2 linked regions of the Caenorhabditis elegans genome follow. The protein of the gene in region 1 interacts with the protein of each later gene in a pairwise test. Each region holds a gene or a part of one and is shown in the gene's direction. Other genes may lie near its edges.

Region 1 (3,754 bases):
ATCGGAACTAACTTGATCCGGGTTTTTCGCATCGGGCAGGTTTTCCAGAACAGCTAGATTCGATTTCTTCTCAAAGGAATGAGCAGTAGATACCAGATTAATCGATTCGACAACTTTCTTCAGCACAGGGTTCTTCTTCATCACCGAGGAATATAGATCACGATTCGCTGGCTTCTGATTGTAGACATTGCTGTTTGAAAGAATTGACGGTTCAGTAGAGGGGCATTTCAGATATTCCATCACCACCAACACCTTCATCCACTTCTTCGCCTGGAACGACGGGATTTTCTACAAAAATCGGATTTTTTCTCTATGTCAGTTTAATTGATGTATAATTCCGAAAAGTCAGTCTTTCCTAGGTTTTTAAATTGAAACATTTCAGATATTCCATCACCACCAATACCTTCATCCACTTCTTCGCCTGGAACGACGGGATTTTCTACAAAAATCGGATTTTTTCTCTATGTCAGTTTAATTGATGTATAATTCCGAAAAGTCAGTCTTTCCTAGGTTTTTAAATTGAAACATTTCAGATATTCCATCACCACCAACACCTTCATCCACTTCTTCGCCTGGAACGACGGGATTTTCTACAAAAATCGGATTTTTTCTCTATGTCAGTTTAATTGATGTATAATTCCGAAAATTCAGTCTTTCCTAGGTTTTTAAATTGAAACATTTCAGATCGTCCACCACGTCCACCATCTTCATCAGCTTCTTCGTCTCCAGCTCCTGGATCTGCCAAAACCCCTATTTTTTTTTCTTGGTCAGTCAGATTTATGTAAAAATCCGAAAAGTCAGCCTTCCCTAGGTTTTTAAATTAAAACATTTCAGATATTTCATCACCACCAACATCTTCATCAACTTCTTCATCTCGAACTCCTGGATTTCCTACAAAAATCGGATTTTTTTCTCTTGGTCAGTCAGATTTATGTAAAAGTCCGAAAATTCAGTCTCCCCTAGGTTTTTAAATTGGAAAATTTTCAGATAGTCCACCTCCACCGCCTTCTTCATCCACTTCTTCGTCTCGAACTCCTGGATTTTGCAGAAAAGGGCGACCCACCTCCACTGCACAAAATGCGTCCGCTCTCTTAATAACTTTGTTAATATTTATTTTTTTTAAGTTTAATTATAATAAAGTGAATAATATTAATAATAAATTTTCCAATTTATAAACGTATTATATTGTCTTCTCAATGCACTGATGATGTGTAGAGTTCTGCTGATTTTCGATTCCTGAAAAAAAACAGGCTACGAATGTTTCCAAGTCGACTTGAATATTGTCTTTTTTCCCAGCTTTTTCCGAGGAGTGGCCCTCATGATATTTTGTAGTCTTATCTGTGATTTTTGGAATGTGAAAAAAATTTATTTTTTTTCAAGAATTTAATTTTAATTTTTTTTTTCAGCATTTTTGGTTAAAAATTTTCTTCCAAAATTTACAAATTCAGTGCGAAACGATCAATTTTCCATACAAAAATATTGGAGGCATGAAAAAACTAAATTTGAATGCGCGCGAAAAAAGTGTTCAATGGAGCGCGTTTACTCGTCGAGCACTTCGGGAAGAGGGGGTACGTTTTCGTAAGGGGATTTTTTCGTAAGGAACGCTTTCAGTAGGGCAATGTGCGGCGCGCCTTTTCGCAAGCCCGCCGCACAGTCCTTCGCAATGCGCCGCACGGCTTTTTGCAATGCGCCGCACGCTTCTTCGTATTTATTTATTTATTTTTCCAACAGGAAATTTCGAACGGAATTCAATTAAAAACGGATTTTTAATGGAAATTAATTAGTTTTATTCGAGCTAAATACGGATATTTTCAGAATTTTCGATGACAAAAACGGGTTTCAATCGATTTCGAATCGATTGCGAAGGACTGTGCGGCGGGCTTGCGAAAAGGCGCGCCGCACATTGCCCTACTGAAAGCGTTCCTTACGAAAAAATCCCCTTACGAAAGCGTACCCCCTCTTCGGGAACGATAATTTGAAGTCTGTTTTTTCGAGACACAAATAATTGTTTTGATTATTCGGCATTATTTATTTGCGAAAATTTATTCTTCTCTATATTACTGTCATAATTTTCAGTTTTAATTTCATTTCAGGTACTTCGACCCACCAAAGCAAAATGTACGATGCATACACGCCTTGCGAAGTAGCTCTCCGATTACCCGTAGAAGTAACATGTCTTGCATTTCAAGGTTTTCAATATCAAATCACTGGAATTTACAATCATGATTGCTTTCAGAATCGAATCAAACCTTGTTAGCCGGTGGAAGAGCAGGACATCTCTATGCATACACAATTTCAGCTAGTAATATTTAATCGTCAAGAAATCTATTTCTAAATATTGATAAATTACAGATCGTCGTGGATTCGAGCTCACAAATATCTGCAAAAGCTTTCACAAGAAAGCAGTAATGGAACTGAAAGTTTGCCAACGTGAAGATCTCCTTTTGTGCGTGTCCGACGGTCAATTGATGGCTCACAAGCTCAGCGATCCAGAGTATAAAGTTGAAACATTAATTCACAAAGTGAAGCCTGTTCAGACTTTTGCAAGATTTTCACCCAAGGTTCATTGGAAACTTTCCGAATTTTCTATTCAATATTTTTGTTTTCAGACATCTGGAGACCTGTACGTAATTGTTTCGTCACGAAAGAAGTTATATTTATTCAAATGGGGAGAGAAAGATGGCCACAAAGAATTTATAGAAGTTGCATTGGATTATAATCCAGTTTTCTTGGATACTCCAACATCTATAAGGTACAAAAGTTTATGAAACAAATTAAAGATAGAATAAATTACAGATGCGTTGGTGAAATGGTATTCTTTTCTGTTCGAAACGAGTATTTTTCTATGACAATGCAAAAAGATAAGACAACCACTTCGCCAAGTGAAGGTTCAACTCCGGAAGGATGGAATGGTTTTGTAACTCGTCTTTTAAATTTCAACTGTCAGCCTGGCATTGTGCCAATGATCGATCGAAGAAGAGTTGCATTTGTGAGGAATGAAATAGTTGTAACCACTGATATTTGGGGACAACGTCCGGCAAATGTATTAAGTGACGAGTACAAGTTCAGCGAAGTTCCCATGCAAATCGGTAACTTTATTGTGGAATTAAATTATTTAATTAGTTACCTATAAATTTCCAGTATACGATTCACCTTACTTGGTTGGAATGCTCTCAAAAGGCCGCGTCGAAGTTCGTTCAATTTTCGATGGTCAACTTGTACAGACAATGTCCCTCCCGAAGGCTATGACACTCTGCAGTGGTGCTCGTGGACAAGTGTTCGTCGCTGCTCTTTCCGATATTTGGATTCTTGATACTTCACAAAATCTTCGAAAAAACGTGTCTCATTTGATACAGGAACGTCATTTCGAGCTAGCAATTCAATTGGCTGAAAATTCGAATTTATTTGCAGAAGAACAGAAATTAGAAATTAAAAAGAAGGCTGCATTGAATTTATTCAATCAGAAGAAGTTTGACGAGTCATTCGCATTATTTGGAGAAATTAAAACCGGTTAGTGCTTCATTTCACATAAGAAAATTAAAATTTTTTTTGAGATATTTCAGAAGTGCTCTCAATTATTCGAATGTTTCCCGAGCTTCTTCCAGATGGATTTCAATCAATGACCGGAGTTGTCAGTGATATGCCTGCTAACGACAGAATGCGTGCTCTTTTGGCTCTCGGTAGTTATCTATCTGAAATTCGAACTGAACACGCGAAGCATATTGAATTATACAATCGTTTGTACTCATCGGGA
Region 2 (3,754 bases), 6.2 Mb from region 1:
GGTATTTTGAAGAATAGACGTTGACTGACTGGAAAGTTTTAACATTTCTTTAAATATGTGTTAAATATCCAACCTACATTCTCAATCATTTTCATTTTTCTTTCTTCCAAAATCTTTTTTCGTTTTCTTTCCGCTTCAATTTTCTTAGCTCCATTTTCATAGTCTACAAATTTTGTCTTCTTCAACGTCACCACCAAACATTTCATTCTTGCATCGTTCTTCACACACTTCTCCTTTTCCCAGCTTTTAATCACTGTTATCGCTTCGACTTTCAGCTCATTTCCATGTTTTTTCGAACCAGGGAGTGGGTTACGAATTGGGTTTGTTTCGAACATTAATTCGAGAAATTCCTAGAGAAATTTAATTTTTTAGTTTAATTTAAGCTTTCACAAAACTCACTGATGGATCATTGAGTAGATTTTCCCGAAATATTGGAAATTGTAAGAAGAAGCTATTGAACAGTTGCAGAATTAGTTTCCTATCGGGACATCCTGATCTCTTAAAATGTTTTAATTAATTAATTCTAATGTTAATCTTGAATCTTACGCTTGTAGTATCCAGCAATACTTCTATCACATTCTCGCAGCCTTCTTCGTCCTGATTTGCCACTTCTTTTTGCAAATTTTGATATGGTATTGATTCAAAGTCCAACTTTCCATCATCTGTCAGCTGAAAACTTTCGCATAATTTTGTTTTTTAGTTCCAAAACTCACTTCTCGTATGAATCGGTTCAAATTCTTCCTTATTATTGTTGTGGAGTTGTCAATTGAATCCATAAAACTGCAGTACTGAAAACAAAAACAAAAATAATGTTTTCTATCATAATCTTAAAGGCGCATGCAAAGAAAACCGTTCACAGGTCTCGAAGCGAAATAGGTGATACGGTTGTTTTTTTCAAATATTCCTCACTTTTGGTTGCCTTCTTTTCAACATTTTATTTGTTTCCCGATAAGTTTAGACGCCAATTTTTATTTCAAGGGAAATAATTTTATTTAGCGAAAATTATCAACATTTTTTCTTGCTTTGTTCTCAAGTTTGGCTTCATTTTTCTTCTGAAAATCACAAGAACGATGAAAACAACAGCGTATAAACATGAATTTAATTTCGCAATCAAATTATTTTCGAAATAATTCGTTAAGATGTACTTAAAAATTTAACAGCACATTTTATTTTTGTGAATATCTACTTTCGAAAAGTAAGTAAAATACATTTTACTCGTTGTTTCCGTTCTCACCAAACACAGAAATATCAGGTCCGCGAGTACCCAACAGCCGCGAAAGTTTTTGTCAAATGCGCTCCATCGTACTCTTTTGCGTCTGCGATGAATTCGAACAGGAAAGGCCGCGAGGAGACTTTCCCCGCGCGCGCCGGCGCGTGTCTTGTGATAAAAACTGGGATGGCCGCTGAGCATGAATCCGACGATTTCTCCCACTTCTTCCGTTTTTTGTCTCTCACACGTAAAATCTGCTTCACCGCTGTTTTTTTTCCGTTCTCATAGCAAATAATAGGTGTGTAGTGTGTCACGTGCGGCGATTTTGTTGCTTCTATTTTCATTCAATCTTTCTCATTTCGACATTTTCGACGCGCGTCTCGGCCAAAAATATTCAGAATGGTCCTTCCGTTTCTCAATTTCTTCTCCTGTCTTCATGTATCTGCAAACAAGTAAACATGCGAAAAAAAATCACATGACCCCTCCTCAATAGCTCCTACGCTTTGTTTTCAATGTTTTCCGAACGTAAAGAGAGGGCGCAAGTCATGCACATCACGTGACAAGACAAAGCGGGACGGGTGCACTCATCGAGGTGTCCTCAATCGATTTTTTACCGTTGCTTACAATAACATCGCGCGCTCTGTCCCAATTCAGCAAGGTCGCACACAATATTTTTCGCAGTGAGATTTGTTTGGCCGAACTTTTGCATTCAGCATTTCTCACTTCCTAGTCTTGAATAGATCCTTATCAATCCAGTAATTTCGAAACATTTGACTGTCAAAAGTGACGATGATGAAAGAAATATCTCTCGTCTTCTCCCATCTCCAATTTCCGTTTCTGAATTTATTTCTGTCAAACTTTAGGTCAATATTTTTTCCCTCTCTTGACATATATTTTCTACACCTTTTGGTTTGCAAATTTAAAAATAATTTTCTTATTTTCAGAACTGGGCTAGATCGATCGTCCCATCGTCAACAGTCGGTTGTGTGAGAGAGCGTGAGAGTGTGTGTGCGAGTGAAACGATATTTTGGCCTAATTTTCCAGCTTCACTGTGAGAAACACAGGATTTCTGCCCGAAAAGCGAGAGCCTGAACCCCGCCAGTTTTGTGTGTGCGTGAGTGTGTGAGACTGAACTGGAAACTACTGCCGATTTTTGCGAAATTTGATCGCTGGTAAGTTATTTTATATTTATAGTGTTGGTCAATAAATGCTATCAATTTCAGAAACCGACAATAAAAAAACATGGCTGTCTCAGCAATGGAAGTGCTCTCTGAAGCGAAGCGTCAATTCGCCCAAGGTGACCGTATCGATGTGACTCTTTTGGATCAAGTCGTCGAGATTATGAATCGAATGAGCGGAAAAGAACAGGCCGAGGCTAACCAAATCCTCATGTCGCTCAAGGAAGAACGCGATTCGTGGACCAAAGTCGATGCGATTCTTCAATATTCGCAGCTAAATGAGTCCAAGTATTTTGCACTTCAAATCCTTGAGACTGTCATCCAACACAAATGGAAGTCGTTGCCACAAGTCCAACGTGAAGGAATCAAGTCGTACATCATCACCAAAATGTTCGAATTGTCTTCTGATCAGAGTGTCATGGAACAAAGTCAACTGCTTCTTCACAAGTTGAACCTCGTTTTGGTTCAAATTGTCAAACAAGATTGGCCAAAGGCATGGCCAACATTCATCACCGATATTGTTGATTCATCGAAGAACAACGAGACCGTTTGCATCAACAATATGAATATTCTGAGCTTGTTGAGGTATTTTGAATTAGTTTTAAAATGTTTTGCTACATTTATTATATTTTTCAGCGAAGAAGTATTTGATTTCGGATCCCAAAACCTCACCCAAGCCAAGGAACAACATCTGAAACAACAATTCTGTGGACAGTTCCAAGAAGTATTCACACTGTGTGTCAGCATTCTCGAGAAATGTCCATCCAACTCTATGGTTCAAGCTACCTTGAAGACTCTTCAACGATTCCTCACCTGGATTCCAGTTGGCTACGTTTTCGAGACAAACATCACGGAATTGCTGTCTGAAAACTTCCTTTCGCTTGAAGTGTATCGTGTCATCGCTCTTCAATGTCTCACGGAAATTTCACAAATTCAAGTTGAAACCAACGATCCCAGCTACGACGAAAAGCTTGTCAAAATGTTCTGCTCTACAATGCGCCACATTAGCCAAGTTCTATCTTTGGACCTCGACCTGGCTGCTGTCTACAAAGATGCTTCCGATCAGGATCAGAAACTCATCAGTAGTCTGGCTCAATTTCTTGTCGCGTTCATCAAAGAGCACGTTCATCTGATTGAAGTAACTGATGAGCCATTAACTGAGGCTAAAATTTTAATGCGAGAATCTCACGACTATGCTATTCAACTTCTTTTGAAAATCACTTTGATCGAAGAAATGGAGGTTTTCAAAGTTTGCCTCGATTGTTGGTGCTGGTTGACTGCTGAGCTCTACCGTATATGTCCATTCATTCAGCCAAGTACTCTTTACGGAATGATGAGTCAGGTTCGTGAGCATCCACGTCGTCAA

The links. Proteins that work in one complex are often made in the same cells at the same time.
Region 2: the proteins of vps-39 (region 1) and xpo-1 interact in a two-hybrid assay, tested with the Caenorhabditis elegans proteins (one large-scale study listed by BioGRID).

What each region holds. Positions count from the first base shown.
Region 1 is NC_003283.11:14,036,712-14,040,465, reverse strand, and holds the start of vps-39 (Vacuolar protein sorting-associated protein 39 homolog), read left to right. Parts: upstream 1-2,093; 5' UTR 2,094-2,116; coding exon 2,117-2,189; intron 2,190-2,236; coding exon 2,237-2,302; intron 2,303-2,352; coding exon 2,353-2,561; intron 2,562-2,609; coding exon 2,610-2,752; intron 2,753-2,796; coding exon 2,797-3,089; intron 3,090-3,141; coding exon 3,142-3,510; intron 3,511-3,554; coding exon 3,555-3,754. UniProt on the Caenorhabditis elegans protein: Plays a role in vesicle-mediated protein trafficking to lysosomal compartments including the endocytic membrane transport and autophagic pathways.
Region 2 is NC_003283.11:7,802,910-7,806,663, forward strand, and holds the start of xpo-1 (Importin N-terminal domain-containing protein), read left to right. Parts: upstream 1-2,154; 5' UTR 2,155-2,382; intron 2,383-2,433; 5' UTR 2,434-2,452; coding exon 2,453-2,973; intron 2,974-3,024; coding exon 3,025-3,754. Other genes in the region: uvs-1 (UV-stimulated scaffold protein A homolog), read right to left, coding at 1-28, 78-350, 400-498, 547-669, 714-776.